4 linked regions of the Notamacropus eugenii genome follow. The protein of the gene in region 1 interacts with the protein of each later gene in a pairwise test. Links are inferred from orthologs where the notes say so. Each region holds a gene or a part of one and is shown in the gene's direction. Other genes may lie near its edges. The genes, in order: EXOSC8, SLAIN1, POLDIP3 and TFAP4.

What was found.
Region 2: the proteins of EXOSC8 (region 1) and SLAIN1 interact in binary tests that used the Homo sapiens proteins (3 or more experiments, as listed by UniProt). The link is inferred for Notamacropus eugenii from reciprocal best matches to the Homo sapiens genes EXOSC8 and SLAIN1.
Region 3: the proteins of EXOSC8 (region 1) and POLDIP3 interact in a two-hybrid assay, tested with the Homo sapiens proteins (2 studies listed by BioGRID). The link is inferred for Notamacropus eugenii from reciprocal best matches to the Homo sapiens genes EXOSC8 and POLDIP3.
Region 4: the proteins of EXOSC8 (region 1) and TFAP4 interact in binary tests that used the Homo sapiens proteins (3 or more experiments, as listed by UniProt). The two-hybrid records come from large-scale screens. The link is inferred for Notamacropus eugenii from reciprocal best matches to the Homo sapiens genes EXOSC8 and TFAP4.

What each region holds. Positions count from the first base shown.
Region 1 is NC_092876.1:98,499,238-98,506,358, forward strand, and holds the start of EXOSC8 (exosome complex component RRP43), read left to right. Parts: upstream 1-4,108; 5' UTR 4,109-4,185; coding exon 4,186-4,202; intron 4,203-4,869; coding exon 4,870-4,906; intron 4,907-5,197; coding exon 5,198-5,291; intron 5,292-6,379; coding exon 6,380-6,453; intron 6,454-7,121. Other genes in the region: ALG5 (dolichyl-phosphate beta-glucosyltransferase), read right to left, coding at 2,982-3,047. UniProt on the Homo sapiens protein: Non-catalytic component of the RNA exosome complex which has 3'->5' exoribonuclease activity and participates in a multitude of cellular RNA processing and degradation events.
Region 2 is NC_092877.1:259,227,674-259,234,522, reverse strand, and holds the start of SLAIN1 (SLAIN motif-containing protein 1), read left to right. Parts: upstream 1-3,841; 5' UTR 3,842-3,914; coding exon 3,915-4,867; intron 4,868-6,849. UniProt on the Homo sapiens protein: Microtubule plus-end tracking protein that might be involved in the regulation of cytoplasmic microtubule dynamics, microtubule organization and microtubule elongation.
Region 3 is NC_092874.1:301,431,034-301,438,111, reverse strand, and holds the start of POLDIP3 (polymerase delta-interacting protein 3), read left to right. Parts: upstream 1-4,074; 5' UTR 4,075-4,165; coding exon 4,166-4,224; intron 4,225-7,078. UniProt on the Homo sapiens protein: Is involved in regulation of translation. Is preferentially associated with CBC-bound spliced mRNA-protein complexes during the pioneer round of mRNA translation. Contributes to enhanced translational efficiency of spliced over nonspliced mRNAs.
Region 4 is NC_092872.1:58,665,093-58,672,866, reverse strand, and holds the start of TFAP4 (transcription factor AP-4), read left to right. Parts: upstream 1-4,768; 5' UTR 4,769-5,015; coding exon 5,016-5,413; intron 5,414-5,883; exon of another isoform or gene 5,884-5,915; intron 5,916-5,931; exon of another isoform or gene 5,932-6,339; coding exon of another isoform or gene 6,340-6,416; exon of another isoform or gene 6,417-6,591; intron 6,592-7,774.

The sequences.
Region 1 (7,121 bases):
TGTCTTTCTCTTATTCAATTCACCCTCCACATTTATTTCCAAAATAATGTTCCTAAAACACAGATCTGACTGTATCACTTTCCTACTCAAGATTCTTCAATAGTTATTTATTGCCTTAGATTAAAATGTAAACTCCTCAGCTTAGCATTTAATGCCATTCATTTGACTTCAGACTATATTTCCTCATATAATTTCTACTTATGTACTGTACTATGTAGCAAAACTGGCCTACTAGCTGCTCCTCATACATAACATTCCAATTCCATCTCCATGTCTTTGTACACAATATCCCCTCACAGTCTGGAATGTAGTCTCACCTCCACTTCCATCTAGTGGTACCTAGACCATTTAGTCTAAGTTCCTGAAGCCTAAGGATGCTAAGTGACTTGCCAAGTATCAAAAGTGAAATCTGAACCCAGATGGTCTTTCCACTGTGTATGCTGCTGCCTTGTTTCTCTGGTAACCAGTGATCCATGACTGAGCTTTTAGACCACAACCCCAGCACCTACCATGATGATATACACAGAACAGTTGTTTTGCTGAATCAATTAATTATCTTTGTCTAGATTCATTTGATCAAGAAATAATGGCCCAAATGTAAAATACTGTTTGTACAGCTTTAAAGTTTATCCACTTTAATTCACACAACTCATTATATGGACTGAATGTAAGTTTCCAATTGAATATAAGCTCCTTGATAGGAAAGCCATAATTAGAGATTCTTGAACTGGAGTAAATTAAGCTAAAGTATGAACACTCCTGTGTATCGCTGAAGTAAGCCGGAGACAGATCATGGGAGCTGAATCAGAAGAACTGGGAAGTCATGTGAGGCTAGGCTGGGATGAAGAGGTCTATAAGCCAGGCACTGAACTTATTAGGGAGAAGAAAGAATGTCTTGGAGTTCCAGAGATTTCAGTCATAAGGATAACACAATGAGCCTTAAAGGAAAAAGAGTTGGCTGTTGAGTGACAGTGGCAGAGAGAATACTAGGGAGCAAGAAATATGCCAATTCTTCCTCCTGGTCTTGTATGTTTGGGGTTGTGACATATAAGTAGCCAGATTTGGAAAAAAAGTCAGAAAATCCAGCATCTTACAGAGAGAGCTAGGTTTTGGTGCACAGCACAACATAGAAGCAACATGAGAAGATATCTAGGGAAAACTGAAGGTGATGGCTGTGTGAGTGAAGGAGTCAGATGTGAGATATGTTGTAAAGGCAGAAAAGGCAAGTTTGGCAAGTGACTGGATATTTGTGGGGTCAAGGCAAGTAAGGGGAAAGTATAATGCCAAGATTATGAAGCTGAGAAACCACAAGGATGGAACCTTTAACCTAAATAAGGAAGACTGGAAGAAAGAAATCTTTATGAGGAAGGATATCGAGTTCAGTTTTAGACCTATCAAGATTAACATGCTTCTGGGGCATCTAGTCTGGACCAGTCCAGTGTGCGTGTGCTCACAGGTATCTGCCGTATCATCTCCCCCAAGACTAGCAGTCCTACTCCCTTGCCTTCTCCTGGGTCCACCTGCTTTTCTCAGCCACCAACAGGAGGATCCCTAGCAGCAGGAGAAAGGGAAGACAGATCCCTCCTCTTCTGTAACCAATCTCTGCTCCTTTAATGTTTTCCTATGTCCCTTTCTCAGAAGTAACAGGTCTAGCAAGAACTGAGGAAGGAAAAAGTAGTGTTTCCCTAGATGTCAGTAGCTGAGGCAATACCTTGGCTTTTCTATTGCAGATTATTAAAGATGATTTTCTCCCTCTGTGTTTTCTTAGGACATAGCATACATAGTACATAAGATGTTTCATAAATAAATGTTGTTGATAATTCTTCAATGTGTGATGACTTCAATTTGAGGAGTGGGGCAAATGCTGGATTCTTCATAGCTCCAAACAGGTATGCCTTTTAAGTTACCGGAAAAAAATTAATACTGCCCAATTTGACAAAATGATCTGTTAGAATTCATCTCTTACCCAGATACAAGTCCCAAGATACTGAGATAATAATTATGTACATTGCTTCATCTAGTGAGGACCTTTTCCAGTTACACTGGAAGTGGAGAACTGAGAAGTGCATTTACTAAATGGACTCAGCATTTACTAAACACACTGCCTAGAGTATTACTCTTTAGAAAGATTCATTTCAGTACCATCTATTACAGACATTAGCCAAAATTTCCTTTTAAAATTATTCATAATTTATTAGAAGTATCTATTCTACCAGAGTGGAAAGTACAAGAATAAACTCCTTATAACAGTTTATAACAATGAGATCGGGGGTCTTTATAAGGGGATACCAAACTCCGCATGTCCAAATTAAAACTCATTTTTCTCTCCTTCCTTCTAAACATATGGGATAGTCTAAATGCACCCCTACCTCTTCTTTCTTCCAATTGGGATTATCTTCATTTATTCACACATTCATTCATTCATTCCTCTTAGCACATTACCTAGCACAGGAGAGCTTTTTCTTACGTTCATTCGTTCATTGACTTATTCATCTCCCCTTCAGTTATTACTAAGGAGCTACTTCTGGCACTGTCCTGCCATCACTTTTCCTAGGCAATGCGGACAAAGACTGGAGCATGCGGCCCAAGAAATGAAGAGGAAACATCTCAGGGTCACAGGATCCAGAACAGAGGGTGTGCTAATTAGTCTGGAGAGAAGAGAGGCAGGAAGGTGGGGTCTAAAGGGCACCGATTTGGAGGCAGAGAAGTTGCGTCTGAAAATTAATGACTTTGAGTCTGAAGTGACTTTCTCGCCAGGCCTCAGTTTCCCCATCTGTAAAATGGTCCCTTCCAGTTCTAAGTCTAGGGCCAAGGGTGAGGACTAGAGAGTGGGGTTGCTCGCAAGGCTGAGAGGGCTGGAGACAGGGGTTTGGGTCGGAGATCCTGGGCAGGGCTGCCAGGGCCTGGAGCCCGGGAGGGGAATCGTCCTCGGGGAAGGCGGGCCCGCCGGGCCGGAGTCCTGGATCCCTCCCCCTCCTCACCAGGATCAGCACCGTGGGCACCAACACCAAGAAGAGCACCGCCGGCTGCTCCACGAAGGGCACCATCCTCCATCCCCAGGGCCCGCAGCTTCGCTGGATCTGGCCCTATCCCGCACCTACACCTAAGCGGAAGCGCCGACAGTTCGGCCGCTACGGCCCGCAGCCGCGCCCCGCCTCCAGCGTCGGGAGAGACGCCTGGCCTAGACCCGCTTCCCGACCCGCTCCCACAGCGCCGCCTGTCGGCAATGTGCCTCGCTTTGACAGGCTGGCTCCCACCGCGCATGGGCAGTCCGAGCCTCTTGCCCCGCCCACCATCAGCGTTTCCGGTCCTAGATGGTCTTAGCTCAGAGCTCCTCCTGGGCTTGGATTTGTTGGCTCTTTTTTAAGATACTAAGTTCCTGGAGGGAAAAGGGATCGTCCCATTTTTCGGTCAGACCTGGCTCCAGGAGCCTAAAGCCAGTCCCGGCCGTACTTCGTCTCACTCCCCGGGGCGATATCTCCGAGAGATGGATATTTTGGTCCATCTCCCAAGGAATTGAGTATATTAAGTGGTGCTTTTATACAGTGTATAATGGATTACCTGTAAAAACAAGAAAACCAAAACCGTGCCGGTGCTCGCAGTCACCCCGTGGGCGGCAGGTGCCCCCTCGGTGCTGGCAGGCCACTCTCTCCCGTGCTCGCGCGCGACACACGTCTGGGTGAAGAAAGCTTCCCCGTCTTCCTCGAAAGAAGGGGAGGAACTTGGGGGGCAGCCGCGCAGGGTGACGTGGCCAGACGGACGGCTGCAGCGGGCCCCCCATCTGTCGTCTGCAAACTTTAGGAAACACGTGTTCAAAACTTGCCCGCGGTGCCCGCGCTGGGCGTCCGGGCAAAGCACGGCCCGGAGCGCACCGCTCCCCACGAACCCCGAAGGGGCAGCGCCGGGAGATGCCCCGTAACCGGACGTCCCCGAGCCGTGTTCTTCACTTCCCCAAATGGAGATTCGCTAAAATTCGAAATCAAAGGAAAACACGAGAGATGCTACCGCTTCGCTCAGGGTCAGGCCACCAAGCCAGGAGCTGGTCGTGGTCGCCTCCCGAACCGTCTCCGTCCCAGCGCAGGCAGAGCGGCCGGGTTTCGTGTCGAATGTGCGGAGGCGGAGCGGGCGCCGGCGGCGGAGGAGGGCGGGCTCCCGCCGCCGGGAAACACGTGGGACGCGTAGAACATGGCGGCTGGATTCAAGTGAGTCTCCCCGGGGGACTCCGCCGGGAGGGGTGCGGGGAGCGAGGGAAAGACGCCGGGGGCGTCTGCGGCCTCAGAAGGAGAGCCGAGCCCCGCGGCCTGCCCGAGCGGGCCGGGCTGGGCCTTCTGCGCCCTGGGATCCCCGGCCCGTGGGCCCCGCTTCCACTCCCCCGAGTGGCACGTCGGGGAGCCGGTCGGGTTTCAGGGCCCTCGGCTGCGCAGGGTAACCTCTGCGCCTCTGACCTGAGGGGAGGCGGGCCAGTCTCCCAGTGCCCGGGCCGGGGCGGGCTGCGCGGGGGGCAGGAAGCTCCAGGCGGGTCCAGACCGCGCTTTCTTTCCGGAGCCTCCGTGCTCGTTGCCGTCGGATCCCCGATGGGCCGGCCGCGTGGTCTGCGCACAGAGGCTGACCCGAGCCGCGTCTTTGCCACAGTTAAAAAGCCCAGCCCTAAATAAAACTAGACGTTTAAAGAAGCCAAGCTGGCGCCGGGAGGACCCCGTGCGAGCCAAGAGCATTTTGTGACGCTAAGGACGTAGCGTGAATCCATGTGAGGGATCCACAGATTTAGACACCTTTTGTTACAACGTCAGAAAGAGAATTTGAAACACAGTGTTGGCTTTAGTGTGCTTGTGAATCTTTAAAAATAAATTGTATTTTCAATCATTTCAGAACAGTCGAACCACTGGAGTATTATAGGAGATTTTTGGTAAGTAAAAGCAACGGGGTACATCTAGAACTTTGGAAGTGGAGGAGGCCGGTCATCTAGTTCAGTCCCCCCGTTTTTCAGATGAGGAAACTGAGGCCTAGGTCAAGTGCCTGGCCAAGGTCATCCGGGCTTAACGGTAGAGCACCTTGTTACGTCACTGTAAAGTTCACATGAGATTTCAGGGAGGCCTTTGCGGGGTTCACACGACATGATGGAGAAGCATGAATGAGGGAATGATATGCCTGCGGTATGATTAAGGAAAGTATATGGGAATCGTGTTTGTTTATTTAGAAAGAGAACTGCCGTCCAGATGGAAGGGAGCTGGGGGAGTTCAGGACCACTACTGTCAATATAGGTAAGAATATTCAGCGTCCTGAAAAGAAACGTAAGTGCTCCAACACCAAACCAACTTTCTATGTAGCGCTTGTTCTGTACTGCTGATAAATTCTTCTGGTGGTTTTTTTTTTTGGAAATGCTTTTTTTTTTAACCAAAAGATTTTGTTCCTGTATGCGTGTCATAAATTGTTGACACAGGCTTAAGTATATGAGTCATTTATGAAAAGCTAGATGGAGTAATGGAATAAATTGGAATCATGGTTCTCTTATGAATAATAAACCAAATCTTATTTTAACAAATGTAGCTACAATAAAAATTTCTATATGGAATATTAGTAAGTCCCAGTTTGTTTCCAGCAATATGCAGCAATCAAATCTAATAAAGCAAAGGATTCAAAACATTTTGTAATGAAATTTACTTTAGGATAATCACTTGATTGTGTTAATCTGTGTAAGTATATCATTTATCTGTAATAAACTTGGCACTTCTTTGTTCAGAAACGTTTGGTGGCTCCCTGTTGCCTCTGGTATAAATGCAGACTCTTCATCATGGCACTTAAAGCCCTTTAGTCTTGACTCTCTTTACTGTTCCAGTCTTCTTTCATATTATTGACCTTTACACAATTTCATAGTCCAGCCAAACTGGCCTACTAGTTGTTCCTCAATCTCTACATTCTATCTCTGTGTTTTTTGTGTGTTGCTTCTCCTGCTAGGAATGCATTCCTTCCTTATCTCAGCTCTTCTCAGGTGCTGCCTTCTGTACATCCTTTCTGATACTCCTTCTACTCAAATTTCCTCTTATTGTACTTATCAGTATACTAGTTGTACCCCCTCAAAGAATACAGGTCTCTCAAGGACAGGAATTGTTTGGGTTTTGTCTTTATATTCCAGCACCTGGCACAGTATAAATGTTTGTTGAATTGGACTTGACTTTAGATAGAATTAGATTTTGTCCGCTGACTGATGAGGCAAACTAGAAGCAAAATTTCACTGACTTGACCAGAACCTCCAAATACACGTAAAGCCATGATGAGTTTTTAATCAAATGGACAAAACTGTTAAACCTGGTAATAATTACTGGTAAGATGACTTTTGAAATTTTTTTTCTAATAAGTTTTTTAATCTGTTAAATATCAGGTTCAATTACTACTGCAGATGGTTCTGCTTTAGTGAAGTTGGGAAATACAACAGTAATTTGTGGAGTTAAAGCGGTAGGTCTCTTTTTCATTTAATCATCTAAAAAAGTTACCAGATTAGTTTCACTGATCATTTTTTTTTAACCAGACCTTTGATTTCACCAGTGTAGGGAGCTCCTGGTGAGGATACTCTCTCTACTAATACAGATGGAGTCTTGGAGACTTACCTGGGACACTGACAGGTTACGTAGTGGCCAGCATGACATAGAGGATGTGTCAGATGCTGGACTTAAACCTAGGTTTTCCTTACTACCAGGGAAGCTCATTATCCTTTTGCCATGAGGCTTCTCATTTCTCTTATTTAGATGATAATGAATGTCTCTAACACTGCAGTAGACTGGAAAATCCAGTAGCATTTTTATCAGGCTCTTATTTTTATTTCCAAAGAGCAATTTAAGGATTAATAATGGTTGTAACACAGGCCAGAGAAACAAAAGTTCAGTAATGACACACGAATTGTGATATGATTATTCTTTGGATGCATCAAAATTGGAATTCATTTTTAATTTTTCAGATTTTAAAAATTATTTGAGAAACTAAGATTCCTAGGATAAGCCTGTTGGTAACATGAAATCATAAAAAATATTTTATTTTCAGGCATTTACTTTGTATGGAACATAATGGAAAACCTAAGCTAGTCAAAATAAAATAGTTTACATAGTAGTGTGTTAATAGAACTGCAA
Region 2 (6,849 bases), on another chromosome or scaffold:
GGTTTTTTTTTGAGCCAGAAAAACCTTTGATTAGTGCCTTATTATTATTGCTATTTTGAAAACAATACATGATTCTAGAGCTCTTCAATTACAATCATATTAGTAAAAACCAGTCCTTAGAAGACACAATAGAAAATATTGACTACTGGTTGCTTGGCTGTATCCTATATGCCATAATCGGAAAAATGGGGGAGGGGCCTATTCATCTTTATTTCATCCTTAGGAGTGTGAATTCTGGTGTAAGATGGCTGCATTTCTTTATCACATCATTCTTATTCTTGCATTTGGATGTGCCTTTTCTTTATTTCTTTTGCTAATGTGGAGCTGGGTATCTCTTTGTTCCCATTGTGCCGGTCTCTTTCCTTCTTTGTGTAACAGGAATACTGCTTACCCGCATCTGCTACTGAGCATGCGAAGAATCCTTCCATAGACCCTTTACTTAGGACTTCCACTTGAGGGACTCCACTTTTCCAGGTTTTAGTGACATCCAGAGGAGACTGGAGATATATTGAAACTCAAAAAAGGGGGAGTGCTGGGTTAGGTCTTAGTTTCTGAGAGGTGAAGGTAGATAGAAGGGGATGGTCAAGGGCAGATATCACACCAGGCTCATACTTTTGTTTATATTAAAATTTCCCTCGTTTGTTTATTTGTTTATGGATACACTTCCAAAATTCATTGCATTGGAAACTGGGATATTGATCAATAACATAAGAAGACATATCTACATATACATATGAACATATGTATATATATATATATATATATATATATATATATATATATATATATATACACATTCATAAATATATTTATTAAGCACTTATTAACTACCAAGTACTGTGCTAGTTGCCACAACTCCAGCACAAGGAATAAAACAATCTCTACTTACAAGGAGATTACATTCTAAAGTCTTAGTGCAGTCTTAAATGATTTAAGTTTTAAGTTTAGCTCAGATTATGTAAGCACCCTATTTAACTACACAAAAAGTAATTAAATAGGAGATAGCTTGGAAAGGAGAGTACCAACAGCTGGGTTAATCAGGTGTAGGTTTGTGCAAAAGATTGTCCCTTAAGCTGAGTCTTGAAGAGAGAGGGACTCAAGGAGGTAGAGGCAAGAAGCCTGTGGAATATAACCAGTGGAAATTGAAGGAAGCATGGTGTGAGGAACAGTGATAAGGCCATGTATCTGAGTAGTTCATCCTACTGGAAAATAGGAAAGCACAGGAGGTGATTGAATAGGAGAGTGACATGCTCAAATTGTTAGAAGTCCCTAAATATTACTTTACAGTTAGGAAACTGTTGTAATAATGTAAGTAATAGGTGAAGAGGACCAGAAACCAAGGGGGAAGCTGTATGAGTAGAGGATAGTGTTTGAATTCAAGAGATATGCCTATAGAAGGTGCAAGATTTAGCAAATTATTTGGGTGAAGGAAAATGAGCAAACAGTAGAGGGTAATGTGGAAGCTAGAAGACCTAAGATCCCTGAAACATGATACCTTCAACAGAAATAGGGAAATTTGTTAGAGGGGAGGGGAAGAGGGGAAGAGTTCAGTTTTGAACAAATCCAGGTAGTAGAAATTTAGGACTAGATTCCAGAATTTGGAATGAGGGTAGGACCAGTATTCTATCTTGCTGCTGCAGTCTAGTGGTTCAGGGACAAAGCCAGGGCTTCAACCACTGCCATCTAAATTCATGTGGTTTACTGTGGGGCCTGAGGTTACAAACCCAAGTATCTTTTGCTGAAGAAGAAACTAGAGGAGGAATTCCTCAGGCCTCCTGAACATTAACGGTGAGGGGACCCTCAAGATCACCTGCTTATTTGAGGTAAGTTTGGTGGGAAACGTGTGTATTCCAAGAAGGCTGGACAAGGCTTTGTGGACTCTCCCAATACCTGCATATTGTGCAAGTTCAAGGCCACCCTGGACTAGTGGGGCCTGAAGAAAGAGTCCAGGGACCTTGTCCCCATTTCTGCCCCACTGATGTTCTATGATGGGAAAGATTAAAATGTTGTCTGGATTCCTGGTCCTTCCCTGAAATCCTTGCACCTGTTGGGCTGGGGCTGACCTTGGATCCTGCTCTCTCTCTCTCTCTTTCCAAGATCTCACCTATCCTATGGGTCTGTCAGACTCCTCTTAAATTCCTACTTCTTCCTGCCCCAACTCAACCCAAATGCTGTCTCCCCCATTGAAGTCTCTCTTAATTATCTCTTCCTGGGTTTATCAGGTCTTCTTTCTTCCCTGCTCACATGTTGTCTCCAGTCCAGTCTCCTGGGTCCTCAGATATCACCTAGGTAAAATAAGAAAGTGATGACCTCAAAGTTGCTTTGTACCTTGTAGAAAGGCCTTTAACACCTTTGCTGAAGATGGAGGGAGGTTCCCACCTGGCCTGGTGTGGCCCAGGAAGGCCCATGAAAACCTGTGAAACAGTATTTGCCACTAGGGTCAATAAGTTTCAAAAAAAAAAAAAAAAAGGAAAAGCAACACTGCGACTGATGAGGTTTAGGTGTGATGGGGACACCAAAATACCCACAGTCCAGGTTGTGCTGGAATGAATTAGACTCAAGCCTTCCTAAAGCCAAAGAAAACAAAGTTTATTAAAGATTCTTAAAGATTTGCCAAATTGGGTTGGCTCTTAAGGATCCTAAGCATTTGTAACTCCCCTATTCACAAGTGGGCCAGACAGAATCTCAGCTAGACAGAATCTGAGCTACATTGCATCTGAGCACCTTCATCAAGGGAGATGGAAATAAATACAGAAAAGACTATAGGAGGCATCTGGGGGGGTGGGGGTCTGGTAGTCCAGGATGATGAGAGGAGGGGTTTAGGGAGGGTCTTGAGGAGAAGTCCAAGGACTGAATCCCAGGAGGGTCAAAGGCTATCAGGAAACTTTCAGGAGATATCAGACCTCGGAGGGTTTGGGTGGGAAGCAGGTGGGGCAATCCAGAGATCTTGAGAGAGGCTGTATGGGAATGAAAACAGATCTCGATGGGAGTGGTCAGCAGCCTGGGTAATGGGGTTTTGATGGGATCAAGGGTGGGGGAATGCAACAGAGACCTGACCAGAGTGTTAATGAAAAACCCATGGGCTTCCAGAGACTTCGGGAACAAATGGGAAGATTAGATTTGAGTAAGCAAGGCCAGATTAAGTGGGAAGATTCAAGGGGAGCTCAAGGAGGCTGCCGGAGTCTGAACCCCATCACACAGTGGTGCTTCCTTTCCTGTATGACCTTTGAGATCCCTTCCAAGGAGCAAATTTTGGTTCTGAGAAAAGCTTTGCAAACCATTGTTACTGTTCATTCTTCCTTTTCGAAGAGGACGAATGACATCACGGGGTGATCTCTTCCCTTGTGTGAATTGGATTTAAATCTTCCTACATTTTGTGTGTCTGCGTTGCAGTGCCTGACAGCTTTTCGAATCAGTTTAGCGTGTGCTCTAAGGGCTGTGAATTAACCCTGGTATTCACAACCACAGATTTTTTCTCAGCAGTGGGTGATGAATAAGCCCACAGCCCACCTGGAGCCTGAGTGCTTGTTCTCTTTCTACAGCGCGCCTCCTAAGGTACTTTGACGTCTCCTCGCCCAGCACTTTGGAAACAATGCGCGCCCACCAGGCGGGCTCTGTCCATGGTCAGGGTGAATAAGACGGGAAACTTTTCACAGTCTACAAAGACCGCTCCCTTAGCTAGGCACCTGGGCAGAGCTAAGGGAGGGCTGGTTTCCGTTCTCGCCACCCAGACCCCTAGCTGGGGATCCGGCACCGCCCTTTCACAGTTCACAGTTCCCTCTCATCAAAGCGCATCCCCCAACCGCTCCCACGTCCACGCCACGCCCCCACCCCCACCAGGCCCCCGCAAAAACCCGGAGCCGCGGAGCCCTGCTCTTGAAAGCCCTGTGGGACCGGAGGGGGCTCCAGTGAGCATGTGCAGAAGAACTTGGTGGCTGCCGGCCGCTCGCTCGCTGGCTCGCGCTCGCTCGCTCCGGCCGGGGCAGGTGGCTGATGCCCTCAGGGGGCTGGCTCTGGGCACCCGCGGTGCTGGCGGCCGGGCTCCGGCAGGCGGGAGGAAGGGAGGAGCGGCGGCGGCGGCAGCGGCAGAGGCAGCGGCGGCAGAGGCAGCGACAGCCCCGGCTCGCGGGGACGGCGGCCCCGGCCTCGGTTCCAGGGTCCGGGAGCGGAGGATGGAGGCGGCTCTGCTGAAGCCGCCGGCGCCGCAGATGATGGCGGAGCAGGTGAAGTGCTCCCCGGGAGGGGGCGGCCCCGGAGCCGGCTCCGGGAGCGTGGTGAACGCGGAGCTGGAGGTGAAGAAGCTGCAGGAGCTGGTGCGCAAGCTGGAGAAGCAGAACGAGCAGCTGCGGAGCCGCGCGGCCAGCGCTGCCGCGGCCGCCGCCGCCTCCTCCTCCTCCGGCTCAGCCTCAGCCTTACCCTCGGCCGCCGCCGCCCCCGGCTCGCACCTGCTGCTGCTCCCGCCGCCGCTGTCCGCGCCGGCCGGCGCTCTGACCGCCACCGTGCCGCCCGCCGCTGGAAGCCCCCTGAGCCCCCCGGCCGCGGGCTCCGCGGGGGGATTGGCGCTGGCCCTGGGCAGCGGGGGCAGCGGGGGCAGCGGCGGCGGCAGCCCGGCTTTCCCCGGGACCTACTGCCTCCCCAGCCCGGCCCCGACCCTGCTGTGCAGCCTGGCCCAGCCCGAGCCCCCCTTCGTCTACTTCAAACCATCCCCCGCCGGCTTCCCGGGGCCGGGAGAAGGCGGAGGGGGTGGGGGGCAGGAGCCGGGGGGCTCGTCGGCCCCGGCCTCCCCTGCCCCGACCCTGCTGGATGAAGTGGAGCTGCTGGACCTGGAGAACGGCTTCTGCAGCCAGCTGGAGGACGAGTATACTTGGTATGGTCGAACCTTTCCCAGTCCTTCTCCCTCCTTTTACTATTCCAGCCTTTGTGCCCCTCTCCTAGCCTCATCCCTGGAGCGTGTCCAGTTGCCCTGGCCCCGCGGGAAGGGGGTGTCTGTGAGGATCCTAGGTGTCCTGTGGGAGGCAGAGGGCTGAAAGGTGCCCCCTCTGGGCTCTTACGGCCTGGCCCTTCCTTTTCAGCTCCTTCCTCCCTCTTCCTCTGAAACCCTGAAGGCAACTTTGTCGCCTCCTCCCCGCAGATACAGGAAATGGTGGCAATGACAGGTGCAAACAGCTTGTGTCACGCCAGGGCTCCTGGCTCTCCTGGAGCGGGCACGATTAGTTTTCATTCCCTGGAGGGACCAAAGGAGGCTCTTTTCCTGAATCGCTGGGACCCCCCCCCCCCCCCACTTTTTTTTGCTGCTATGCCTCCTGCTGAAGAGTCTAAGTGCTGAACTGGCCAGCCACACCGGCTTGCCTTTTAATCCTACTTTTGCTAGAGTTGCTGGATCCCAGACTCCTTATTAGCATTAACTGGAAAATCCATATGATCTTGTTTGGCTGCTGTCTAAATCTACTTTTCTGTCAGTATTACCTTTACCCATTAGAAAAGCGGAATCATCCTGTTATCTGGATTCTCTCCTGTCCTCCACTCCCATGTACTACATTTGCCTGCTAATATTCCCTTTTTGCTCCTATATGAGGAACAGTTTATTTATTTGGCTTCGATCTGGGAGATCTGAGTTGGTGCAGTCATACATTTTCAGTTGCTGCATTTCCATTGATATTTTGTTCTTGCAGATCTCCTTTTGAAATTCTGACTTGCCTTGCAAAATTGCTGACTTCACTGGCTTTCTCCTCTATTGTGGATGTCAGAAACGTGGACATAACTAGGGAGTCCTAAGCATGTGTGTGCTAGGTAGACATTCGAGCAAGGAGCTGTGGACTTTGTTTTTTACTTTTAAATTCAATTGGAAATTCTTTACCTCTTTGCTTTGTCCTTTTCAACAGCAATAGCCTTTTGCAAAAGGCTTTTAATTAAAGTTCTGAGAATTTCTAATTAGTGGATTCTCAATTGATGACCAAGGTCAGGCATGGTTTAAACAGGGTCCTGGTTCAAGATTTGAAAGGGACCTCAGATCACATCTGGTTCAGCCCCCTCACTTTCCTCATCAGTAAAATGTGACCCAGGGAGGTTGTGACATATTTTCCTAGGGAAAATTAACATCACTGTCACCTAAATAACAGGGGAATGAAAATTTATTTTGGTCACTGGTTATACTTTTGAATTTGTCAACTTCATTTTTCAAGATAAGTCTTGATTCTTTTCCTATTTTCACAGTATTGCCTAGATTGCATTTTTAAAATTCAGTGAAAGAGGAAATAATAAGAAAGCTCACCAGCTCTAATCTAGGGGAAGAGACTAAGTAGGGCAGAGCCTACATTGACAAAACATTTGTTTGCCCTAGGCAAGGTTTAAAATGGTAACACCTGGTGTGTTAACTGTACCCTAAAATATTTGCTTCTCAGAAACTCACAACTTGACTATGACAGGAAACTCCCCCCATCCCCCTCTCCCCCTTGCACATTCTACAGAGGACAGAATTTGTGGCACTAAAAATATGCATTTTTAGAAAGGGACACTTTTAATATTGACTCTTTTTTTGCACGTTAAGCATCTGCTTCCATTGCCTGCCCCTAAAAGACAACTTAAGTCATTTCCCTTTTCTTTTCCTAATTACTACCCTTTAAGCGGCTTTCTTTCTGTCCTTTTGTGTGAAAGTCCCAAATAACATAAGAAAGAAAAAAAAAATCACTTAGTATTAAGTCTTAAGTGTATGGAAGCTTAAAATATTCACAAGTCTCCACAAAACTTCTCTATTTGATATCTGTGCAAGTGGTTCAGTTCATGAAACACCAAATGAACTCTAAGCATTTTGCAATTTAAATCTTATTTTCACCCAAAATTAAAATGTTA
Region 3 (7,078 bases), on another chromosome or scaffold:
CTGTCTCTCATTCTCTCCCCCCTCCCCCCTCCCTCCAGTCTCTCTCTGTCTCTCATTCTCTCCCCCCCTCCTCCCCCTCCCTCCAGTCTCTCTCTGTCTCTCATTCTCTCCCCCCTCCCCCCTCCCTCCAGTCTCTCTGTGTGTCTCTCATTCTCTCCCCCCTCCCCCCTCCTCCCCCTCCCTCCAGTCTCTCTCTGTCTCTCATTCTCTCCCCCCTCCCCCCTCCCTCCAGTCTCTCTCTGTCTCTCATTCTCTCCCCCCCTCCTCCCCCTCCCTCCAGTCTCTCTCTGTCTCTCATTCTCTCCCCCCTCCCCCCTCCCTCCAGTCTCTCTCTGTCTCTCATTCTCTCCCCCCCCTCCTCCCCCTCCCTCCAGTCTCTCTGTGTATCTCTCATTCTCTCCCCCCTCCCCTCTCCTCCCCCTCCCTCCTCTCTCTCTCTGTCTCTCATTCTCTCCCCCCCTCCTCCCCCTCCCTCCAGTCTCTCTCTGTCTCTCATTCTCTCCCCCCCTCCTCCCCCTCCCTCCAGTCTCTCTCTGTCTCTCATTCTCTCCCCCCTCCCCCCTCCCTCCAGTCTCTCTCTGTCTCTCATTCTCTCCCCCCCCTCCTCCTCCCCTCCCTCCAGTCTCTCTGTGTATCTCTCATTCTCTCCCCCCTCCCCTCTCCTCCCCCTCCCTCCAGTCTCTCTCTGTCTCTCATTCTCTCCCCCCCTCCTCCCCCTCCCTCCAGTCTCTCTCTGTCTCTCATTCTCTCCCCCCCTCCCCCCTCCCTCCAGTCTCTCTGTGTGTCTCTCATCCTCTCCCCCCTCCCCTCTCCTCCCCCTCCCTCCAGTCTCTCTCTGTCTCTCATTCTCTCCCCCCCTCCTCCCCCTCCCTCCAGTCTCTCTCTGTCTCTCATTCTCTCCCCCCCTCCTCCCCCTCCCTCCAGTCTCTCTGTGTGTCTCTCATTCTCTCCCCCCCCTCTCCTCCCCCTCCCTCCAGTCTCTCTGTGTGTCTCTCATTCTCTCCCCCCCTCTCCTCCCCCTCCCTCCAGTCTCTCTGTGTTTCTCTCATTCTCTCCCCCCTCCCCTCTCCTCCCCCTCCCTCCAGTCTCTCTCTGTCTCTCATTCTCTCCCCCCCTCCTCCCCCTCCCTCCAGTCTCTCTCTGTCTCTCATTCTCTCCCCCCTCCCCCCTCCTCCCCCTCCCTCCAGTCTCTCTCTGTCTCTCATTCTCTCCCCCCTCCCCCCTCCCTCCAGTCTCTCTCTGTCTCTCATTCTCTCCCCCCCTCCTCCCCCTCCCTCCAGTCTCTCTCTGTCTCTCATTCTCTCCCCCCTCCCCCCTCCCTCCAGTCTCTCTCTGTCTCTCATTCTCTCCCCCCCCCTCCTCCCCCTCCCTCCAGTCTCTCTGTGTATCTCTCATTCTCTCCCCCCTCCCCTCTCCTCCCCCTCCCTCCTCTCTCTCTCTGTCTCTCATTCTCTCCCCCCCTCCTCCCCCTCCCTCCAGTCTCTCTCTGTCTCTCATTCTCTCCCCCCCTCCTCCCCCTCCCTCCAGTCTCTCTCTGTCTCTCATTCTCTCCCCCCTCCCCCCTCCCTCCAGTCTCTCTCTGTCTCTCATTCTCTCCCCCCCCTCCTCCCCCTCCCTCCAGTCTCTCTGTGTATCTCTCATTCTCTCCCCCCTCCCCTCTCCTCCCCCTCCCTCCAGTCTCTCTCTGTCTCTCATTCTCTCCCCCCCCTCCTCCCCCTCCCTCCAGTCTCTCTCTGTCTCTCATTCTCTCCCCCCTCCCCCCTCCCTCCAGTCTCTCTGTGTGTCTCTCATCCTCTCCCCCCTCCCCTCTCCTCCCCCTCCCTCCAGTCTCTCTCTGTCTCTCATTCTCTCCCCCCCCTCCTCCCCCTCCCTCCAGTCTCTCTCTGTCTCTCATTCTCTCCCCCCCTCCTCCCCCTCCCTCCAGTCTCTCTGTGTGTCTCTCATTCTCTCCCCCCCCTCTCCTCCCCCTCCCTCCAGTCTCTCTGTGTGTCTCTCATTCTCTCCCCCCCTCTCCTCCCCCTCCCTCCAGTCTCCCTGTGTGTCTCTCATTCTCTCCCCCCTCCCCTCTCCTCCCCCTCCCTCCAGTCTCTCTCTGTCTCTCATTCTCTCCCCCCCTCCCCCCTCCCTCCAGTCTCTCTCTGTCTCTCATTCTCTCCCCCCCTCCTCCCCCTCCCTCCAGTCTCTCTCTGTCTCTCATTCTCTCCCCCCCTCCTCCCCCTCCCTCCAGTCTCTCTGTGTGTCTCTCATTCTCTCCCCCCTCCCCCCTCCTCCCCCTCCCTCCAGTCTCTCTCTGTCTCTCATTCTCTCCCCCCCTCCCCCCTCCCTCCAGTCTCTCTCTGTCTCTCATTCTCTCCCCCCCTCCTCCCCCTCCCTCCAGTCTCTCTCTGTCTCTCATTCTCTCCCCCCTCCCCCCTCCCTCCAGTCTCTCTCTGTCTCTCATTCTCTCCCCCCCCTCCTCCCCCTCCCTCCAGTCTCTCTGTGTATCTCTCATTCTCTCCCCCCTCCCCTCTCCTCCCCCTCCCTCCTCTCTCTCTCTGTCTCTCATTCTCTCCCCCCCTCCTCCCCCTCCCTCCAGTCTCTCTCTGTCTCTCATTCTCTCCCCCCCTCCTCCCCCTCCCTCCAGTCTCTCTCTGTCTCTCATTCTCTCCCCCCTCCCCCCTCCCTCCAGTCTCTCTCTGTCTCTCATTCTCTCCCCCCCCTCCTCCCCCTCCCTCCAGTCTCTCTGTGTATCTCTCATTCTCTCCCCCCTCCCCTCTCCTCCCCCTCCCTCCAGTCTCTCTCTGTCTCTCATTCTCTCCCCCCCTCCTCCCCCTCCCTCCAGTCTCTCTCTGTCTCTCATTCTCTCCCCCCCTCCCCCCCTCCCTCCAGTCTCTCTGTGTGTCTCTCATTCTCTCCCCCCTCCCCCCTCCTCCCCCTCCCTCCATCTCTCTGTCTCTCATTCTCTCCCCCCTCCCCCCTCCCTCCAGTCTCTCTCTGTCTCTCATTCTCTCCCCCCCTCCTCCCCCTCCCTCCAGTCTCTCTCTGTCTCTCATTCTCTCCCCCCTCCCCCCTCCCTCCAGTCTCTCTCTGTCTCTCATTCTCTCCCCCCCCTCCTCCCCCTCCCTCCAGTCTCTCTGTGTATCTCTCATTCTCTCCCCCCTCCCCTCTCCTCCCCCTCCCTCCTCTCTCTCTCTGTCTCTCATTCTCTCCCCCCTCCCTCTCTCTCACCCCCCACACACAAACACACACGACGAAACTGCTTCAACGTCGGAAACTAGACTTGAACACTGAGTTTTTCGACGCAGAGACCGTTCTCTGCCCGCCCTTCTTCACTCCCCCGACACCGAGTTTGTCGCCCCCTCCTTCCTCCCGCCATAGAAACTGAAGTCCTTTCGCGGGTGTGAGAGAGAGGAAAGGTTGTCCCTCCCTAACTCCCGGTACGACGCCTGGCATACAGCCTGGCACGGTACACAATCAGTAATCACTTAAGTACCCCTCTCCCGCGACTAGAAAAGTTGTTCTAGCGAACCCCACATCCCAAACGCCGCCACAACGGAGATGGAAAGAGAAAAAACCCCACACCCCACCGAAGAGTCTGCTTTTCATAGAGTAAATGGGGGTACGGGCAGATCGCTACACCCAGGCATCCCGCTAAAGTAGGCGGGTCACCTTAGGGACAACCTGTACCCGCTCAAAAATTCTTCTCACATGCGTAGTGAGGATTCGGGCGTCACCCGAATCGTTATTTTCCTTACTCATAAGTTTAAGGCATAACCGTACTGTTTTCATAAGCGAGGCTGGGAGGTGTCCGCAGACCTATTTCACTTAGGGGTGAGTCCGGGAGCAGCTGATCACACTGAGCATAAACTGTACTGCTTACACGTCAGTTTGATAAGCTTCCGTTACGTATTTTAAAGTTTTTATGAAGGGGAGAAAGAAGACCCTTTAACATTTCATTCTCTGTATGTAAATCGAAAGTCGTCATTGCAAGGGTTCATGGGATACGTAGCCCTCCAGCCTCGCACGCTCCGCCCCCTCCCCGTTCCGGGGTGTCGCGAGATCTGGTGCGTTGGCGGAAGGACCGGGAGCTGGGCACCGGAAGTAGTTGCGTCCCTTCTCCGGCACCGATGGGCGGGGGAGCGCCGAGTGCGTGAGCGGCGCCTGTTCTCGTTTTCCGCGGCGCAAGATGGCGGACCTGTCCCTGGACGAGCTCATCCGGAAGCGCGGGGTGACGGTGAAGGGCCGGTGAGTGAGCCTCTCTCCTCGGCGCCGCTTCGGAGCTAGGACCCGGGGCCCGGAGCCTATTGAGGCACTGGCTGGGGGTCGGGTGGCCGGGGGCATCCCCGTGTTCCGGGCCCTCTGGTCCGCCCGGGCCAGGCCCTCCCTCCTTCCAGGGCCCGCCCTCTCTCGCCAGCGCAGCTGCTCATTGGTCGGGTCGCCGCGGCCGCGCGCACTCTTCACCTGCCTATTGGCTGCCGGCGACGCCGCTCATTCCTGGGCTCCGGGGAGGGCGGGGCGGCGGGGCGCGAGCGTCGTGGAGGAAAGGCTGCCGAGCCCGGGAGGGAGGCGGGCCCCGCGCCTGGGGCGAGGGGAGGGTCTCCGTAGTGCTAACCACCTTCTGTGGCTTGGAGGGATGCGACGGGGATCACGGGCCCCCCATTTCTGTGAAGTGGAGGGTTGCCGTAGTAATCCCAGCCCCCCATTTCTGGGGAGTGGAGGGGCGCAGTAGTGCTCACGGCCCCCCGTTTCTGGGGAGTGGAGGGGCGCAGTAGTGCTCACGGCCCCCCGTTTCTGGGGAGTGGAGGGGCGCAGTAGTGCTCACGGCCCCCCGTTTCTGGGGAGTGGAGGGGCGCAGTAGTGCTCACGGCCCCCCGTTTCTGGGGAGTGGAGGGGCGCAGTAGTGCCCACATTTCTAGAGCATTTAGAGATTGCAGTGATGACTAAAAATGAGAAAATCGAAATGATGGCATTCTTAATTGATTCTCTTTTTGTCATTGTCGTAGTTTATCCCGTATTTTGTGTAACTTCCCCAGTTCCTTTCTTTGTGTCTGAGTTGTTCCAGCTTCAGAAGTTCAGCCTTCCTCTCCGAGCTAGGTTCTCTCATCAGTCACCCTAAGTCAGAGAACTCTTTTATCTGCACACAGCTCAGTGTTCAGTCATGTCTTGCGAGGCACCATTTGGGTTTTTTTGGCAGAAATCCTGGAGTGGTTTGCCATTTCCTTCTCCAGTTCATTTCCTCATTCATGAGGAACCTGAGGGAAACAGGGTGAAGTGACTTGCCCAGGGTCACACAGCTGGTAAGCATCTGAGGCCAAATTTGAACTCAGGAAGACTCATCTTCCTGACTCCTGGCCTGGCACTTGTGCACCAGTGGCACCCCCCAGCACCCTACACATCTTGCTGCCCAGGCACAATTCAGGAGGCTTGTTAACTTGTCAGCTGTTAACCTTCAGGATGCAGGTGGGCTCCATAAGCATTGCTTAAGTCAGCATTGCTTAAGGACCAGGGGTTGTGCCAGTCCTGTCATTTTCCCATGTATAATGCTGCCTTCTAGCTTTTGTCCCTAAAAGGGATTCTCGTGGAGGAGCTAAAGACCCCTTTGTTGGTAGTTACTAGCCTTATCGATAACTTGACCTTGTTCAGAACATTCACTCTCTCCCTGCAGACTTTTGAGCATGGGCCTGCGTGACCCTGGGCTACTCGCCCCCTGCTCTCTGGGCGAGAGAGACACCCTGCTATTCGCAGGTCGTACGTTGACCTAGTTTCAGAATGTCATATTTTCTATGTTTTATTTCCTTTTTATTTATTTTGTTAAATGTTTCCCAGTCCCATTTTGGTCTGGTTCCTACCTCACTGAGGAGTGTTGTGGGCCTGTGTGGTTGATGCCAGCTCTCTGTACCCACTACCTGCATTGGTTAGAGGAAGGGTCTTTATCTAGGAGTTGCCCATGTCAGTGAAATCCTGGGTCCCTGCCCCTTGGAGGTGACAGGTTGAGACCATTTTATAGATGAGGCTCTGAGTGATGGTGACTGTCCAGGGACTGTGCGGCCCTTTCAGGTTGAGGCATGGTTTGAACCAGCTCTTCCTGGAGAGTTTTGAGGGTGACAGGAATAACAGACTTTCGCCCTCCCCATTTCTAAAGGACTTCACAGCCTGTTCTAGTACAAACTCCTTTTCTGTTGAGAAAATCAAGTTGATTCCGATTCTATTTTGTAATTGATTAAAGTCTGTACCACCACCAACGTTTTGTGAAGCTGCCTAGTCACCTTCCCTTGTCTTCAAGTTCACTTAGGAAATTTACAGGCTCAGAAGTTCCGTCCTCCACTCTAAATTGTTTTCAGGTTCAGTTTCCCAATTAAGGGCAGCCTGGTGGCTCAATGGATAGAACACTGGGCCTAGAGTCAGAAAGACCTGAGTTCCAAACTGGCCTCAGACACTTACTAGTGGTGTGACCCTGGGCAAGTCACTTAACCTCTCTGCCTTAATGCACTGGAGAAGGAAATGGCAAACCATTCCAGTATTTTGGCCAAGAAAACCCCACAGAGAGTAGGGGCTATGGAGTCATGAAGAGTCAGACATGACTGAACAATAACAAATTGTGTACTAAAACACTTTAATTAAAAGAAGCTTAAGAGTTCAGTTTCCCTGGGGCAAAGCCAGAATGGCTCAGTAGAAGGATGAACCTACTCTAGCTCTCCCCTCCATAACCCATAAAATACCTGTAAAAAAATGACTAAATAAATTTTAGAGCAGCAGAAGCCACACAATGACAGAGTGAAACAGATTTCCAGCCTAAGACAGCCTGGAAGGCCAACAGGAAAGCTCTATCGCACCAGGCTCAAAACAGATCGTAGCCCAGTCCAGGCTGCACAGCAAGGACAGGACTGGAGCAGGCTTCAGGGCCTGGAATCATGAGTAGCAGCTGCAATTCCCAGCTTCTCAACTCACAAACACCAAAGACAACTTCAAAGGTCAGTAAGGAAGCTCTTTCACCTGGGTGAGAGGGGAGTGCTATCTGGCCCCAGCAGCATCCATTTTTGGAACCCTTAGCCTAAAGACCCTGGGGGAATCGAGCAGCTGATCTGCGTCTCAGTCCTGA
Region 4 (7,774 bases), on another chromosome or scaffold:
TTTGACAGCATAAGGGACAGTATCAGTAAATAATTGGCGGTGGGGCTTGGATATGATTCTCATGGGCACCCTGAGGGGTAGAGTTGGTCCTCTGATAGATTCAGGAAGGCTTCTTGAAGCACTAAGTCCAAGAAATATTTAAGGAAATGGAGAATGAAACTGTTTAAGATATAGGTGACCATGATGGTATTCCTGCCCCTGAGAAATTAATGGGATGGAAGAATTAGCAGGTGTGCCTGGGGCAAAGGTCTAGGAATTGGTTTGGGAAAGAGCATAAAAAGCTCAGATATGATAACATCACGAGGTGTAGAACTGAAAGGGACTTTAGAAGTTGCAAGCCTAGCTAGCCCCCACCTCATTATGACTTGGCCACAGTTTCTGCTTATCTCTTTGCTTCCAGTCTGGCCTCCCCCCCCAACCCTCCTCCACATGCTGACCAGATGATGTTTCTAAAGTGCAAGTCTGACCATTATTCCTCTTCTCTAAAGAAATTCCAGGGGGAATGGAAGAATTCCATTTTGACTCTAGAATAAATACAAACGCTGCAGCTTGACATTGAAAACCTTTCACAATCTGACTCCAACCTACTTTTAAAATAATAATAATAACTAACATTTATATAGCACCTACTATGTGCCAGGCATTGTGCTAAGCAAGTGCTTTAGCACTTAGAAAACTGAGGGAAACAGAAGTTAAGTGACTTGCCTAGGGCCACTCAGCTAAGTAACTAAGTAAACACTCATATAGTAAGTATTTAAGGTCAGATTTGAAATCAAGTCTTGAGTATTTAATCTGTTTCTGAACGTTTTTCTCCTTAAATGAACTCACCTTATGTTTCAGACAAACTAATTTAATGCTGTTTCTCATATTTTGCAATCTGTCTTCCTCTTCCATGTCTTTGCATACCCTCTATGCATTCTTGGAATGCACTCCTTAATACTTTTACTTCTTAGAATACTTAGCTTCTTTCGAGACTCAGTAGCTAGTGAGTTCTCTGTCCTCAAATTCTATTTACATGTTGTATTCCATCCCTATTCATCTAATGTAAGTTTCTTCGGGGAAGAAACCTTTTATTTTCCGACCATATACTTAAGTTCGAGAGATAACTAGTCAAACTTCCCCTGCTTTTACAGATGAGGAAATTGAGACACAGTGTAGGAATGTGATTTGGCTCATCTCACAGGTGGGTAATAGTAGAGTTAGGATATGAGCCCAGGTCATCTGACCCTAAAACCAGTGCTCCTTCCTTTACACATTTCCTCTCTATATTTAGAATGAGGTTCCTAACTTTTTTTAGTCTCTGTATTCTTTGGCTTTCAGTAACCAATTCCCCCATTCACTATGAAAATAATTCATTCTTAAATTTACCATTGACATGCATATAAGAAATAAAGGTTACAATTTTTGGATTTTTTAAGAATAAATTTTGGTTGGTGTCTTTTGTCTTTACACACCTAAATCCATCCCCCCATCCCTCCAGAAAGCCATTTTTAAAGAGAGAACATTTTCTAAAAACAAAAAGAAAGAGGAGGGGGAAAAAAACTCAGTGAAACCTATCAATACATAAAAACAATCTGAAAAGATTTCACAGCTGTGGACCTCTCACCTCTGTAAAGTAGTGCATGGCGGGTGGTGATGAAAACATCTCCTATCTCCTCTTTGCAGCCATGTTTGTTCTTTTGTCACTTTGTAACACTTACTTCAATTTTTTGGTGGTGGTTATTCTTTCTGTTTACATTGTTGTACTTGGTTGGAAATCGATTCAAGAAAATCAAATCAAAACATTTCCTAACATCTTTGACAAGCTTCTCATATCCCAGCTTGGGAACTCCTGGTTCAAAGCCAAATTAGAGCTTTCAAGGTGGAGTTGGTTTGGTCAAAACAATGGGAGATGACAACTTGAGCAATAGTGGTGAACACAGCCTAGAGGAGGCTGAATCCAATGAGGATGAGGTTGCTACAGTCTAAGTAACAAATGACAAATCACTTAGATTAGGACAGTGGCTGTAAGGATACTAGGGAGGGGAATAGGCTTGGGCAGTGGGAAAAAACAATTCTCACTAAAGTACCTCCTCTCTTCCACCTGCCAATTTTAACCTAGAGGTCAAGGCCTAAATCAAGATTCCTACTTCACTTCTATTCCATCCCAGAGTGATCTCTCTTTGATGATCTCTTAGTAAAATGCCTAGCACATAGTAGGTGCTGTATAAATGTTTATTGATTGACCGATGAACCTCCCACAGCACCTGTCTGGCATTTAACCATGTACTATCCCAGAATTACCATTAAACTGTTTACTGAGTATACTGTTGGGTTAATGAGACCACGAACTCCACAAGGTCTTGTATTTTTCTTTCAAGTCCCCTAGTGTTGTACTGATTGAAGTGCTGTCCCAAACTTTAGGACAATATGGGAACATCCTTGTCAGGGATGTTACAGAGAGAAAGAAATGAGAAGGGTCACTTACTGGCTGAGACAGAAAGGAAGGAGAGGGGAAAATAGCATCAGGTCTGCCCTAGAATTTGGTTATTAACAAAATTCTTTATCCTCTACTTAACATGCCAGGAGTGCTACCTGAGGTAGGGAGGTCAAGATTATTTTGGATCAGGAAATAGCTTCAGGGGAGTTAGAGCATATCTCTCTTTTTCTCTCTCCTCCCATTCCCTCTTTCCCCCTCCCATTATTTAAAGTTTTTTTAAATTCTGCCTCCTCTGTGAAGCCTCCTTAGATTGACCAGAGGTCAAAGGATTGCTGCCCTTTTTCTCCCTGGCCAAATTGGGGATGGAATTCCCAGAGACTCTTCTTGTCCCCTACCAATTATCACGGTGATTATGATTTATGTTATTCATAACATCACATTTTACTTCGAAACTGGGCACTGTGTGAACTTCAGCACTATGGTCCACAATCCATTCTTTTACTCCTATCAGTACCTGGAAAGTTTGCTGCTCCACAGTGAAGGTAATGGACTAAGCTGTCCAGATGCTCAGTCCATCATCATGTTTCCAAGACTTCAAGGCCTTAGAGAGGCCAGGTTAGCTCACTCCAGTGACTTCAACTCGATAAACATTTTTGAAGTGCTCAGCACTTGCTGAGGGGGGCACAAGAGAAAGGCATATTTCCTGCCCTCCTTGGACTTGAAATCTTACTAGGGAGATCAAACTGGGAGGGGAGGGATTAGAAAGCAATTTTAAGGCAACATCTATAGAAGTGTGAAATAACTTGGGGCAACCTGTATATTAAATTTCAAGGAGGTAGATTTTAGGTTAAACCATGAAAGTATGCAAAAGGGGGATTACGCAGCATTTAAAGTCGTAGAAGTGAGTAGATATATTCCTGGGTACAATCTGGACCTGGCCCCAACACATCATCGGACATTCCTTTTCGTCTCCAACGCTATAATCCAAACTGGCCTCTCTTTTTCTCACTTTGGACACTCCAACTTCCATCATCTCAGTGCCTGCACACCGGCTGTCCTTCACGCCCGGAACTGACTCTCTCCTTTATCGCTGCCTCTGAGTCGCTCTCTGCCTTAAAAATTCAGCTCAGGAACCATCTGCTGGAACCCTTTAGTGGTGTCCTCCAACATCTAGTGCCCTCCCCCAATAATAGCTTGTTTAAAAAAGACATCTTTTTTTAAGCTTAGTATTTATGCTGCAGAAATTTTATATGTATTTGTCTTCCCCATTCACATATAAGGTCTTTGAAAGTAAGGAGCGATACAGTTCTTGGTATTTGTATCTGAAGTGCCTAGTACACACAATGCCTGGCACATAGGAGGCACCAATATCAATATCTGTTGATTGATTATTCCTGAATAGAGCACACGGTTAATGTTGAAATACTGGGGGGGGGGGGGGGGAGAGGAGGGGAAGAATTTCAATTGCTTACTATAGAACAAACGGGATTCCTCCCTCCTTCTCTCTTTCTACAGATCCGCCGCACAGACATAGGTCTCTAACTTGACTGGATCAGTCTTAGAACTTCCTAATGGAACGCCAGGTTTCTCCCACTTGTATGAATGAAGGGCCACCCACGCAGGAGAAAGCCCGACACAGCACCCAGGATGTGTGAGAAATGAGGCTGCGTGTGTGTGTGTCGGGGCATACTGGGCAGCTTTCTCCTCACCAGGGACATTGCTGGTCTGCTACCTCCCACCACTCCCTCATTTCCCTGCTCATTCCCGTCTTGTCTGTCCAGCTCGGGGCCCAGCTTCCTCGTGGATAGGCTCGGAATTCAAAGCCACGCTGCCCCTTTCCCGTGCTCAGAAGCTCCCTTCTCCCAGCTGCAAGGCTGGGATTCCCAGGGCAGCAGCCGCAGAGGCAGCGGCGGCGCAGGTAGCGCCCGGAGCCGCGGCAGGGGAGGAGTTCTGGTGGCAAAGCCAGCCAGCAGGCTGGGACAGTCGGCCGGCCTCTGAAGTAAGCCCCGAAGTTCCATGTGGGAAGTGGTAGTTGTGTGACGCAAGTTTCCAGGGGGCTCTCCACTCCGAGGGAGCTCTCGGGAGCGGGCTGGACTCGGTGCAAAGTGAAAAGAAGTGGAAAACAGCCCAGCACACTACGCATCCGGAGCTTGCTTCCTCGCTACCGCTGCTGCTGCTTGCTGCAGAGCAAGGACCAACCTCTAATCCCCTTTCTCCTCCTCTCCTCCCTACCACGCCGTGGGCTGGGGGTGCAGAGCTGCACGCACGCCCCTCCAGCACCTAGGGCAGGGTCGGGGCCGGACTCCCGGGGGCGCGCTGCGTTTCTCTCAGTGGCTGGGGTGGGTTTTTTTTTTTTTTGCAACGCTTGCCAACCTGTCAGCTGATGGACCTCATCACCCATAGTGGCGCATGAAGCTCAGACAGTTTGCTTCATTCACACAGTCCCTTCCCAGCCCGCCCACCGCACCCCCCAGCCCCCTGGGCGGAAAAGAAGTAGTGCGGGCCCCTAGCCAAAGGCTATCCCCAGGGTTCCGCTCCCCTCTCGCCCCAGTCTCCCGCCGGCCCGGGGGGGCGCTGCAAATAGTCCTTTGTTTACATGCAATTCCTTACTCCGCGGAAGGAGGCCGGGGGAGTGCTGAGTTTTCACCAGCTGTTTCCCGCCTTGAAACAGACATCTGATCAGCTGCAAACACACATACACACACACTCACACACACGGACGGGGAGGCAGGCCGGAGAGACCTCCCCCTCCCTCCCTCTCCCTCCCCCCCCTTGCCGCCAGCATCTGGGACCGGGAGAGCCAGCACCTCCGACGCTGCCCTTTGATTCGGATTTCCATTTTGCATTCTCCAGCGGATCGGGACCAAGGACTTGGCTTTTGCAGAGGAGGGGGGGGCCGATCGCTATGGAGTATTTCATGGTGCCCGCTCAGAAGGTGCCCTCTTTGCAACATTTCAGGAAAACAGAGAAAGAAGTGATAGGAGGGCTCTGTAGGTGTGTACCGCTCCCCCTCCCTTTTTTTTTTCCCTAATGCAACCCCTGGCCAGCCTGCCCTCGGCGCATGTGTGTGCATGGCATGGCACCGGCCCGACTCCTTTCTTAGGCGCCGCCGGGAGCTGAGGGGCTGCTGCACCGCGTGCGGAGGCTCGCAGGGGCTTCTCCTCTGGAGCGCCGGGACCCCAGGCAGCCCCTAAGTGCGCCCCAGCTACTTTTGTCTGGTGCAGGAGAGCGAGTCGCGACGTTTGTAAATTGCAAACAGACCCACGTGGTTCTGCAGCAGTCCCGGCCATGCTGGTCGCTTTCTCCCCCTCTTCCTCCTCCTCCCCCTCTCCCGCGGCGGCTTCCTTTCCCTCCTCCCCTTCACTCTGGCTCTTGCTTGGTGCTGAGAAAGGCTTTTTTTTTTTTTTTTTTTGCGGGGGGAGGGGGGAGGGACAGGACTCCGCGGGGTGCTGGCTTGCGGGGCTGGGGCGTGCACGGGGCCAGGTTGCAGGCGACGGTAGTTACAATGCAGCCATGCTGCTCCTCCGGGCTGCTCTGGTCGGGTGGGGGTGGGGAAAGGGGGGAGGCGATGTGCGTGTTTGCAAACAGCCGGGTAGGAAGGGGGGGGTGTCCCTTGCTGTCGGTGTGTGGTGTGTGCGGTGCGTGTGCGCGCGCGTGGGTGGCGTGTGCGTGTGGGTTCGGGGCCAGCCGGACGCTTTTGGAACGAGCCGCCCGGGACAGGGCCGCCGGTGACCCCTGGGCACGTTGGGGGCGGCTCACCAGCGCTGGGGCGCTGTTTACCAGCGAGGCCTGGACGTGACTCTGCAGCCCTCTTGGAGTAGGCGGATCTCCGCCCGCCGTCTCCTGGGAGATGTAGTTCTCGCGGGCCCCTCGTGTGCGGGATTGTGGGAGCTGTAGGCGCTGCCCGGGCCACGCTTTCCATGCACAAAGCATGGTCCACGCGGGCGGGGGAGGGGCAGGGAGCTCGGGACGGGACGGATTTACCGCGAGTTGCGGGGTAGGCCCACCTCCCCCCCCTCCCCGCCCCTGGTCTGGGGCCACTTTCCCCCCTCTTGCCGCCGGTTTCGTTCTGTCCCTTTCCACGTGCGTCTCTGCTACAAACTCCAGACAGCACGTCCGCCAAGCCCAGGCAGAAACTGAAAGAATTTCGTGTCCAAGCCCTCGCTGCTTGGGTAGGGTTGGCCCTTACTACCCAGCAGGGACTTTAACTTCGTGCGAATGGTTTGGGGGTGTTGGGCAGCCCCCCCCCCCCGCCCCAATAGGCTCTATGACTGGCAAACGCCATGTATCTGGGCAGGCGGCTGCTACTTAGGAGCAGCCGAACCCCTCCCCCGAAAAAACGCCCCCAGACTCTCGGGACGTATTGGGATAAATTGACTGACCAGGACTTTCAAGGGACACGACAAGTGGGACTCCGTCTATTTCCTCACTTGTTTATGCTCAGTAGGGAGAATTTTCTGGAGTCTTCTGCCCTTGCACACCCAGACCCCCACCAATTTACCTGCGCAGAGTCGGAGTTGGAACCCCTCCTAGATTTCCCTCCTGGGAGTAGGGTAGTGGAGAGGTGCCCTGGTAGAGACTGGAACTCTTGGCTTACAGAACTAAGACTAGATTGGCTCATTGGGGGGAAAGGGAAGGGGTCTCCTGTTGAGAGCAGAAAGAATGAGAGAATTTTAATCAGTTCTTAGCCTTGGATCTTCACTTTAAGTTCACAGCCAGGATCGGTAGATTCTTCCCATTCATACTGTCTGTCCAGTTCTGCTGATCACATAACCAAAAAGTAAAATAAAGGGCTTGAAACCAGATAGTCTCTCAGGTGTCAGGGCTAGTGTCATGACATAACTTTCCCTAGGATTGACATTGGGGATGTAGAGAAAACCCTTATAGTGTAATGGAAATAGCTGTGGACTTAAGACCTCTTAATATGTTGTTTGACCTTGGCAATTTTATTTTATTTCTCTCCAAGCCTCAGTTTCTTTAGCTGTGTTGTTCAGTCTCATCCTATTCTTTGTGACCCCATTTGGGGTTGTCTTGGCAGAGATTTTGGTGTGCTTTGCCATTTCCTTCCCCAGCTCGTTTTATAGATGAGGAAACTGAGGCAAAGAAGGTTAAGTAACTCCTCCAGGTCACACAGTTAGTACTTAAGTGTCAGGTCAGATTTATATTCCCAAAGATGAATCTTCCTGCTTCCAGGACCTGTACTCTTTCTACTTTGCCACCTGGCTGCCCCCTTATCTGTGAAATAGTGATAGAAACCTTTGAACTACCTACTTTACAAGTTTAAAGAAATGTATGAAAAGTGTAAGTTTGTTGTTCGTATGAATAAACCTGATGCCGTCCTTCAGACAATTTACC